3 linked regions of the Oryza sativa Japonica Group genome follow. The protein of the gene in region 1 binds, or shares a complex with, the protein of each later gene. Links are inferred from orthologs where the notes say so. Each region holds a gene or a part of one and is shown on either strand. Other genes may lie near its edges. The genes, in order: eukaryotic translation initiation factor 3 subunit H, eukaryotic translation initiation factor 3 subunit A and eukaryotic translation initiation factor 3 subunit K.

What was found.
Region 2: eukaryotic translation initiation factor 3 subunit H (region 1) and eukaryotic translation initiation factor 3 subunit A share a complex: the UniProt entries of both Arabidopsis thaliana proteins name them as parts of the eukaryotic translation initiation factor 3 (eIF-3) complex. The link is inferred for Oryza sativa Japonica Group from reciprocal best matches to the Arabidopsis thaliana genes TIF3H1 and EIF3A.
Region 3: eukaryotic translation initiation factor 3 subunit H (region 1) and eukaryotic translation initiation factor 3 subunit K share a complex: the UniProt entries of both Arabidopsis thaliana proteins name them as parts of the eukaryotic translation initiation factor 3 (eIF-3) complex. The link is inferred for Oryza sativa Japonica Group from reciprocal best matches to the Arabidopsis thaliana genes TIF3H1 and EIF3K.

The regions. Positions count from the first base shown.
Region 1 is NC_089038.1:18,753,111-18,757,384, forward strand, and holds the start of eukaryotic translation initiation factor 3 subunit H, read right to left. Parts: upstream 2,881-4,274; 5' UTR 2,754-2,880; coding exon 2,744-2,753; intron 2,629-2,743; coding exon 2,519-2,628; intron 1,775-2,518; coding exon 1,658-1,774; intron 1,556-1,657; coding exon 1,452-1,555; intron 536-1,451; coding exon 469-535; intron 86-468; coding exon 1-85. UniProt on the Arabidopsis thaliana protein: Component of the eukaryotic translation initiation factor 3 (eIF-3) complex, which is involved in protein synthesis of a specialized repertoire of mRNAs and, together with other initiation factors, stimulates binding of mRNA and methionyl-tRNAi to the 40S ribosome.
Region 2 is NC_089035.1:1,178,533-1,181,160, forward strand, and holds the end of eukaryotic translation initiation factor 3 subunit A, read right to left. Parts: intron 2,576-2,628; coding exon 2,495-2,575; intron 2,115-2,494; coding exon 1,913-2,114; intron 1,387-1,912; coding exon 878-1,386; 3' UTR 595-877; downstream 1-594. UniProt on the Arabidopsis thaliana protein: RNA-binding component of the eukaryotic translation initiation factor 3 (eIF-3) complex, which is involved in protein synthesis of a specialized repertoire of mRNAs and, together with other initiation factors, stimulates binding of mRNA and methionyl-tRNAi to the 40S ribosome.
Region 3 is NC_089037.1:4,350,552-4,354,654, forward strand, and holds the start of eukaryotic translation initiation factor 3 subunit K, read right to left. Parts: upstream 2,817-4,103; 5' UTR 2,683-2,816; coding exon 2,575-2,682; intron 1,871-2,574; coding exon 1,814-1,870; intron 1,728-1,813; coding exon 1,677-1,727; intron 1,580-1,676; coding exon 1,517-1,579; intron 1,095-1,516; coding exon 1,044-1,094; intron 962-1,043; coding exon 895-961; intron 357-894; coding exon 274-356; intron 17-273; coding exon 1-16. UniProt on the Arabidopsis thaliana protein: Component of the eukaryotic translation initiation factor 3 (eIF-3) complex, which is involved in protein synthesis of a specialized repertoire of mRNAs and, together with other initiation factors, stimulates binding of mRNA and methionyl-tRNAi to the 40S ribosome.

The sequences.
Region 1 (4,274 bases):
TGAGTTTCAAGGCCTTGAGAGCTAGAACCCCCTGATTTGACCTAGATGGGTCATAAACGATGCACACACATCTCCGGATATTCTCCTGTAACATGCAAATGTTATGTTCTGCATGCAACATCGCAGAAAATTACGCAACTCTTATGACCAACTCATAGATATTTGATATATGATATGCATGTACTGCTGCGTATACTACATTGGATGTACAAACAGGTTAGATATTGTAATGCATACAGAGACTTAACCTTGATTCGTGTCAAAATAGGTTACATGCTAATTAGAGAAGCTAATTAGGTGCACTGTTTGCTGTCCTATTTGTTTGTTCATGCTGTGCTAGCTATTTTGAGCTAATTAATGCGCAAGTTGGCCTAAAACTATTACTGCAGTAGGTCAACAAAGCTGGGAGAGGATAACCCAACAGCAATGGAAAGATTGATCAATTGCACCTTATTTATTTTTGCATACCTGATAGTTCATAAACGTTTCAATCAGTTCCACAGTCTGAAAAGATCCAAGCAAGCAAGATTGATACCTGTACACAGGCATGGGAAAAAAAAGGGTCAAAACATGAAGCAGAACAGGCTACAGCTTTGTTGGATGATTATGATAGTTGTATGTGCAAAATCTGTTAAACAAGTACAACAAGAATGGAGGTTAAAACTTAAAACCACAACATAAATAATACAAATAATAGGACACATCACTTAAGCTCAAGATGAAATACGTTGGATAATTAGTCATTATTGGAGTTAAAAATATAGCAAATATTTTGAACGAGGCATGAAACAGCTAGAATGCAACACAGGTTAATATGTCGTTAATGCAACTGCAAAAGACTGGAAAATACATCGAGTAAGCACAAAACCAGCCACTTTAAGGTCAATGTTAACCACATACACGATAACTAAAGGTTGCTACCAGAAGCTTGATGATGTTTGGTTGCTTCATGCAATAAGAAATTTAACACTCTCATGAAGTGTTTCCAAAAGAGGATTAGATAAAATAATCAGTCCAAGCAAACAAGCAGAGCACCATTGATTTTAAACAGAGACAAGGTGAATACATGACACAAACAACATTTCTATACATGTATGCATAGAGGCAAAATTCCACATTTATTTTGTTCTCACTTTTCAGTGTCACATACTCAACAGCATCACTAAACTATGTTGACAAATGAGCATATCTCAATTTAGTTTGCCTGCATTATTAACTACAGCCAAAGATGTTAGCAACATTCCAAAAATATAATAATGAACAAACGGTCAGAACAAAGAAATACGAATGAACTATTTATGCACATATAAATTAAAGGCAGAGGATCAAAGACTACAAAAACAGAGTTGTAACACGTGTAAACTCAAAGGCTGCTCGCAGAAGCACGCGGCAGAGGTTAATTATCATATGGAACAACAGCAATAGGTATTGAATGAAATGTCTTATCATACCATCCAACAGTGTTATTGTCAACATTAACCTCCCTCAAGCACCTCATCATCTCAAGCTGATAATTTGCACCATCTGCATCTGCCTCTTCATCATCTTCTCTCATCTGTGGTCAAATATTAAAGTAGCTGTTAATCTATAAACTAAACAACCACAAGAATACTCAAGTCATATTAAAAGAAATATGTTATAGATGTTAAATACTCACTGGGAAAGGAAAACAGTTCGTTACTTCCAGAACACTGCCAACATCCAAACCAAGCAGTTGGCCTGTAACTAGAGCAGGTGCAAACTCCTCACAGTGCTTAATGATCTTCAGGACAGCCTGCATGATTGAGAGAGAGAGAGAGAGAAATTTGTGAGTGGAAATATAAGAGTACTATACCTAAACATGCCTATTCAAACACAGGGCAAAAGAAAAATGCGGCTGGCCCTCAGAAAATCATCCAATGTAAAGGTGCAGCAAATTTGATCTAGTAGAGTATGGTCAACATAAGTACATGACTAAAAGCAACATGTGTGTCGTGCAATATGGTTGTGCTCCACTAGAGCACTCTTGGAGGCTCCTATTGCGCTGCGAATCAAGCAAGAATTTTCTCCCACCCTCTGCTCTCCCTAGTTTCTCCTACACTTCTTCTCAACAATCACAATGCAGATGATCACTTTCTTTTTTGCCGGAATGACCGAAGGAGGTCATTCAATGTAATTAATTAAGATAGGAAGTCTTCCGATCACTTTCAAATCATGTGTAGAAGAAAACATTGTAAAAGGGACAACTATATTCGTAATAACCTCACCAAATCCCTCCAGTTCCAGAGCCAAAGGACCCCGATCTAATTACACGGCAAAGCATGTAATTACCTCGATCTAAAGAGCTAAACAACACATTTGGGTGAAGAGAAATCGCACACTGCGGGCGTTTCATCACACAAACAGATCCTCCCGAAATCAAGAGCTTATCCTTACTTCATCCCAAGCGCAAGTCGCCCAAAACAAACATGCTAGCATAGCGGACGCGCTTCGAATTCTACCAAGGGACAAAACGGGAGGGGAGAAGAAAAATAATCACCAGGCCCTCCATCTGCACGACGCGGAGCGGCGACGGCGCCTCCTCGGTGACGGTCGACACGGCCTGCAGGAACGACCTCGCTCCCCCCGACGGCCCTGCTGCTGCTGCCGCTGCAAACCAAACCAAACCGAACCAATTAAACAAACCACCCATTCGCCCCCAGAGTCGGAAGCGGAGCAGGACACAAGAGAGGGAGAGGGTAGGGCGGTTCTTCGTCTCGCTTACGATTCGCCATGGCTGCTCGGGTGGTGCTCGACGGCGACGGCGGCGGCGGCGGCGGCGAGGAGGAGGAGGAGGAGGCGAGCTAGGGTTTAGGTCAGATTCGCTCGTGTGTCGACTCGAGCCCGATTTTGATGTGCGGCGCAGATTGTGTCCCGGGCTGGGTTTGTTCACGGTTTACGGGTGGTGCCGTACGCTATCTAGGAGCCGTTGGATCCTAAAATTGGCGGCTGGGATTGAAGGGGTTGAGACTTGAGAGGTTTTTTTTTTTTTTTTGACACCTGAAGGGGGTTAAGAGTTGCCACTTGAGAAGTTGAGATTGAGAGAGTTCAGACAAGGAGCACCGGATTGCCATCTACTAGAAAAAAAACAATTGGTGTAAAAAAAAGGAAGAAAACAATTTGTGATGATAAAAAAAGAGAAAACGTTGTATATGGTGTAGGAAATTAGTTATTGTGAGAAAAATAGTTATTTGTTAATTATTATATTTTGCTTGTATCATTTCATTTATACTAGAATTTATGATTTTTCTAAACTAATTATATTATATGGTTTCATTTATACTGGAATTTATTTTTTAAAAACACTAATTGTATGATTAATCTGAAATATTGTTTTAAAAAATACAATGACTTATAAAAATAAAATGTGTGAAGTTCGATTATATATCCTTCAATTTATATTGAATTAGAAATCAACCTCCTAATAAGTCTACTTATCAATTTTCGGTCCAAAAGGATGCCACACTATCAAATCTCGCAAATAGGGTCGATGTGTGATCAAGAGGAGAAGGCCATTCAGCAAATTTTGATAGGTTGTCTTCTCATGACAAGTTTGGTATCTCCTCTTTAGCCGTTATGGTTGTGCAGATCTTCCATCACGACCAAAGGATAGTTATTTTTGTAAATGGTGGATAAAGGTCAATTCTATTATTCCAAAGGTGCTCAAGCATGGCCTGAATTTTCTCATTACTTTGGAAGCATACACAAAAAAATTGTGTGTTTAACGAATCCTCTCCTTGCGTGTAGTTGGATTTCAGAGAAAGGGTTTTTTTTAGTATATAGCAAGAGTTAGGGGCTTGGCTTAGCTAGAGGTAGCGGGTGGCTAGAGTTGTTTTGGTGTCTGTGGTCGCGTCCTCTTTAATCTTGAGTATTCTTATGGTTTTCTCCTTTCTTTTTTTTTTGGCACCACAGTAGTGGGGATCTTATGTTTAAACCTTTTTTTCTTGCGTGTTCGATAAAACTAGCGTCATTTATAAACGATGACATGATCATAGACTCATGATCTTGCAAGAGATAGCAAGTATTATCTATTGTTATTTCGCCATTGCAACCTATCCATCAGAACTCAATTCAAGATCGGTATTTACTTAATAATTTATAGAGGAGAGGCCGATGTTCGAGTTCTTCTGCCCTCTCTATCCTAGAATGTCGACACCTTCACGAAAACTCCTGGTTCTCTATCCGAGTAAGAGATGACAATCATCAACTACTGGGTTCTCTATCCGAGTAAGAGATGATGACAATCATCAACTACT
Region 2 (2,628 bases), on another chromosome or scaffold:
ATTTGAAACTGGGGTGGTAGAATGTTGGTATTCACAGGAACCGTTGGATCGAGAACGTGCGATAAAAGGAGACAAGCGAACGCATCCTGCCTCCCAACTCCATTCCGAGTTTCTGATTACCAGATGGATTTACTGGGCAAAGCCAATGGGATGCCAAAAATGACAACACTCATCGAATTTTGGCATGATGTAGAGGGATGGCATTTCATGTTGTACAGTTCAGTTCATTGCCATCCATACTTCTATGCAAGGTCAAACAGATTGGCAGTCTCATACTTCTATGCAAGGTTAATGTTTTACTTGAGCAACATTGGAGAACGTTAATGCTTTACTTGAGCAACGTAGGAGACCGCGGATAGGTAAGGTTGTATTTCCGGTGCAAATCGAGCTCCGAAATCCCAGTGCATCAAACTACCAACTGCTAGCAGTGCGTTCCTGCTTGGGGTACACCACCATGATTCATGTTTCCGCCAACTCTTCGTCAAAGCTTCATCCGAGTTTGGTGTTAATCAAGATCAACAAGTCATATTAGTTTGATGATAATCAAAAGAAATGCGATGTACTTGTAGCAACGACCAAACGAACAAAGACACAAAGACAAGGGCAATATTCCAGTATTACTAACAGCGCCAAAGTTTGGACAAACTTAACGAGTAGCAATCCAGTGTGCAATGGAGTAACTGCAACAACGAAATAACATTTGACATAACTTAGGAAAGGTGCTATTGCCCTGAAGCAGGTCCTAACTCCAAAATTTTACGAGCATTTGATGCGCAAACAGTCAAACATTCAACCATGTTTCACAGGCTTATCTCAGCAATGGCCCTGGACAGCAAAAAATCTCACCCTAGCAGTCCACATCTGAAAGCAGACGGCTTCAGTTGCGCCTGCTGCTCCAGGTTGAGGAAGATGATGAACTTGAGTATCTTGAAGGTCGCCATGTGCCTGGAGGACCATCTTGGCGGGCTGGGGGAGCAGCATCGCGAGCAGGGGGTGCCTCTTGGCGGAGCGGACGCATATCAGGACGTGGGCGATCATCCCGTGAACCCCAACGGTCTTGCTCAGGTGCCACAGCAGGTCTCTGGCCGCCAGCACTACTGCCACCATCACCACCTCGTTTAAACTTCGGGACATACTTACCAGCAGCTGGTGCAGCAGCGGCAGCAGCAGCAGCCGGTGCAGCTACCGGCTGAGCTGGCTGTGCAACCGGAGCAGCATCAGGAGTGCGTGCAGGCTCAGCAGCTCCAGCTCCTCTTCCCATGAGAGCTTCCATTCTCTGTTTTTCCTTCTTCTCTTCTAGTTCCCTCTCTCTCTGCAGCTGCTTGGCTGCAATTGCATCCAGCTTAGCCTTCCTCTCAGTCTCTTCCCTCTTTCTCCTCTCTTCCTCTGCAGAGAAGGTGAAATCATTATCAACAATATGTATAAGCTAGAATTTGATTTCATTGCATCAGGCAAAAAAAAAAAGATCCGCAAGATAATTATGCACAAGCAAATCACACTTTGATGCCAAATAACATTTTAAGTTTTAAAGCTATCCATTGTCTAAGGGCTTGTTCACTTTGATGCCATTTTCAATCTTACCAAATTTTGTTAAAGTTGCAAGAAAAGTGGCTACATTTAGTTTGTTGCCAAATTTTGGTAACTATATAAGAAATCCTGCTAAAATTTTGGCAAGTTGCCGAAATTTTGGCTATGCCAAAATTTGGTAAGGTTTTTTTTGGCATCAAAGTGACAGGCCCTAAGTAACACAGGTCCATACTGCAGTAAAGTCACAGTAATTCAACAAGCAATGTTCACTAATTCTCAAGAAATTCCAAAATTAGCTGGACGATATATGGCAGTGTAAATTAATCTAATCTAATAAGGTAAGATAAGAACAAGTATTTCAAAGCACAAAGTCATGAATTCTTGCCTTCACGTTTTCTAGCTTCCTCTTCCTCACGGAGCCTTTGGAGGCGCTGCTCTTCTAAGTTAAGATAGTACATTAACTTCCGCACTGTATCCCTTTCACGCTTCCTTGATGATATCAATTGACTAGTCCTTTCATCCCTCTCTTTCTTAAGACGACTAAACTCAGCTTCACGACGTTGGACAATTCTTTCCTGGAAAATGTTCTGCAAGCAAAAAGGGCAATTTAAAATATGTGCGAAGGAGAGAAGACAGCTGTCTATTCCCTGACAGGAACAAATCGCCTGGTGTATTCAAATGTCTAGTGCTCAAATCATGTGAACACACACATAGCCAAAGAAGACATGCCAATATTAGATTCTCAGCAAGTATAGCACATATTATATGTTAAATTAATCTGTATCTAATCAGACCTTTGCACAGATAATATACTAAGTATTTCAACTGTTATGCTTGGAATTGCAAAACATGGTTTCGGAAAAACACAGGATTAATTACAGTGGGACATTTGGTCCTTCAATTAACTAAAAAGAAGATGAAATAGTGCAAGAATATCTGGTCTGAATACAGATATGTATTTGCTTACCTTATGCTCCAACATTCGAGAAAGTCTGTTCTTCTCCTGCAGGTCACCTGCATGGTGTTGCTTGCTGAGCTCAATCTCTCTCTACAAGAAGAGATTAATAGTGATTTTTGTGAGCTTAAGTAATCATATGCTAT
Region 3 (4,103 bases), on another chromosome or scaffold:
CCTCAATGTTGATGGCCTGAAAAGAAAAGTAATGAGTTTCAGCCAACAAGGGACAATCCATGTGCGAGGCAACCAATAACACCTAAATGATAGCAAAATTTGGATGATGATGGTGACACTTCTGGCGTAACAAATATTTGTAGCATTAGTAATATGAAACTTAATATTACCACGAATCCTTGGTCATCTAAAGTTTAAACAAAAAGGATTGAATGAAAACTCATGCTCCCTCGAGGACTCGTGTAATAATTAATTTAAAATGACATCATTTACCTCCGCAAGAACAGGCCTAGGAACTTTCTGGTATGTCAAGGAGAGCACATGTATCGCATAGGATTGGATTGCCTGCTCAAAACCTGTAAAGGGATTAGTTAAGTAAGCCTTCACTAGTGTTTCAAAAAAAAAAAACACTTCACCATTAGGTCAAACGGAAAGAATCCATATCAATTGCCATAAGAAAGTGTCCAATATAGCAAACATTCATAAAAATAATCCATAGGTAGTTCATGTTAGATTAAAAAGAATTCCTCAGTAGTCAGTAGAAAGAATCAAACAGAAGTTCGCTCAAGACTGCTTGATATGGTAACCAATCTCTGGGCATCTAGGATACTAATACATACTCATTTACATGACAACGCGGGCATGAACATGCCACATAAACACATGGTAAACGTCTAAACGATGATAAGTCACAAAGTTACTTTCTAAAATATGAGTTGTGCGAGAAAATGCTGAAATAAAGTAATCAGAAAAGGTACAGTTTATCAGTCACACCCAATTGGCCAAATCAATCAGGAAAATGGAGGGGGAAATACCAGTACAATCATCTAGCTTGCAACAATTACCACTTCACAACGTGTGAACAAAACATGGCTCCAATTCCACAAGACATACCTGGAACAACATCCAATATGTTGCGGTTCTTCGACGCCTCATCCCAAAATTGACGGAACCTAGCAGTCTACAAAGACGTTGATTGCGGTTAACAGTGGTTATCCCACTAACTGTTCAACATATATACAATAGTCAAGCCAGATACATACCTCCAGGTAGTGAGAGAGAACTATCAACGTCTTGAACTGTTCCTCCATTTGCTGAAATAAGAAGAGCATAGAGGACAGTGGTCAAAACTCACATGATAAGAGAACAGAGCCCAACAAATAAAAGAACTAGATGTACAGCTATAATAAACACAATGTATAAAGTATTCGGGTCTGTTATATCTACATATCTAAGACTAAATGGGCAAAGATTGTTCCCTTGCACAAATATTTAAATTCCAAATCCATGGTGAATATGATTTTATTCCATCAACTACATGTTATTATATATATACATTGCACATCTCTAGGCATACATATATGATAATGTTATTTCAGGGTCAATTTGGCAATCACCACCAAAACAAATAGATCACTGGGTATCGATACTATTTAAGATGCATCCGCAATAGCATTTTATTAGATAGATAGTTTTTGATGCGACATATACATGAGGCAGGGAATTGTTTCCGTACCACATGCTCTGGAATTAAGAATAAGCATAGGCTGAAGTCCGGGCCTGGCATTGCCATGAGAGCCTGTCAATAGAACAACATAAAGAGAGCAAAACAGTTGGAAGTGATCAACAAAAAACCATTGTTTATTTATTAATGTTAACATTAGTTCTTTTCTGACCTTAATCAATATGCGAGATACAATCTGCACACTCAACCTTTCTGGTTCGAACTGCAAAGGGAAACGCATCATTAAATAAACATATAACTCGAGCCAAAATATGGGTAAAAGCGGTTTGTACAGAGATGGACTGTCACCTGGTACAGACGAAGAAGACTAAGATTTGCATCCAAGTTATATGTTTGGTTGGAAACCTATATGAAAAGAAAAGGTCGGTAAATTTGAAAGCATTAGAACCAAAAACTTATGCTGGAATAAAACAGATGAGCTACAAAAGATGCATGCACATACTCACAATAGCTAGAGCACAAAAAAAAAGGTCTGTTGAGTTTGTTTCTTTATATGCTGGAATAAAACAGATGAGCTACAAAAGATGCATGCACATACTCACAATAGCTAGAGCACAAAAAAAAGGTCTGTTGAGTTTGTTTCTTTATAAATCGTAAGCCAAACAGCATGTCAAATATTGATATGAATGTGTGTCATCTGACCGAAATCTCCATCTTGCCACTTTCATGACCAACGACAACAGATATTATCAATTGAAAATCCATCAGTTAGCATTGAGATGACTGACAATAAGATTTATTGATGTACCAAACAGCAACCATTCTCTTTACAAGTGCTGCCGCTTAATTCACAACTCCTCCACAACGATGTGCTCCACTACAGTCTGCCCGAAAAAAATACACAAATACTGCTATTTCTAGCTATCGCCATAGCGCATATGAATCAGGATTTTTTTTTTCATAGGAGAATTTAACGATTTGCGGACCATGTAAACATGAGAAGGCGCGAGGCTTTTTCAGCACAGCCACGGACCAATCCTTCGCAAAATTCCAACAATCACACGAACAAAATCAAACGGGGCCGCAAGTATCCCATGGCTAGGGTTTACCTGATCGTTGACGAAGCCCTCGAGGTCGTTGAGGATGTCGGGGTTGTAGGGGTTCACGGCGACGAGCTCCTCCACCGTGTAGCTCTCCGCCGCCTGCTCGCTCGCCATCTCGGGGAACCCTAACGCCCGAATGCTAGAGTAGATCTCGCGCGAAACCCTGGGAGCGGCGAGAGGAGGAGAGGAGAGAAGTGGCGGCGCGGCGGAGGGGGAGGCGATGGAGAAAAGGGTTTTCGGGTTCGTGCGAATTTTTTCGCTTTAGTCCCTCAGCTATCCTTATACTCCTACTTCGTGTGCCGCGGATGCAAAAAGATGCTGGTAGAAATGCGCATGTGCCCTTCCAAGGTTTGGTTATTTCATGGACACCCCTGCTAATAACCAAAGGTGTGGCATAAGCAACAACTAGAATTGCTAATCCTAACAAAGGTGGTGTTCTTTTCTTTTAAAGATGAAGATAAAGATAGTATTAAGTGTTTTATGTAAAACGAGATGGTATTGAGGTGTTATTAGTTAAGTTTTAATCAATACAAACTTGATGAAAAATAGATTAATTTGATATTTGAGAGCAACTTTCATATAGAAAGTTTTCGTACGAAACACACCATTTAGCAGTTGAAAAGCGTGCAGCGTGTATCAAAAATTTTATCGAACTTTTGTTGGAGAAAAGAACAAGGCCTTGCCACTTTTGAAAAAAAAAATTGAAATAGGAGCCTTTAGAAAAAAGTGGATCCATTTTATTCATTCCATGATACCAATCTATTAAAAGTACCATGAGTTCATGACGACGATTTATTTTTGGTAGGAACCATGATATTGATACTAGTAAATACGCTCGAGCAATCACATACGATTGATGTGATGACACGAATTATATTTCGTCTTTTTTACATGCGGGACAATTATACAGATGATGAACATCCTTACGATCCTATCACCTACTTCCTCCGTTTCATATTATAATAATTTCTAGCATTACCCGCATTTAAATATATGTTAATGAATCAATACATATATATACGTGCCTAGATTCATTAACATATACTCCCTCCATCCATAATATAGAAACCTATAACTAGATGGGACACTTCATAGTATAATGAATATGGACAGGAAGCATGTCCATATTCGTTGTACTATAAAGTGTCACATCCGGTATTAGGTTGTTATATTATAAGACGGAGGGAGTATATGAATGTGGGTAATGCTAGAAAGCCTTATAACCTGAAACAGAGGTAGTACGTAATTATTAAATCTATCACAATTGATAATAACATGACCTTAATTTGCTCATGTTTGAAATTTTGTTCCCATGACAAACCATCTGATGAAGAGCTGAAAACCAAAATTTAGTTGCTACTATTATTTATTTCTATATTTTACACACCAATCTAAAATACTATTGTTCCTCACAAAATTAAAGCTTGCAAAGTCACAAGGATACAAGATCCACACACACAATCCCACAAACTTTACACAGGCACTTTGCAGGCTTGCAGCACAACGCCCAGTTGCAGCTCAAAAGCAAGCAAGGC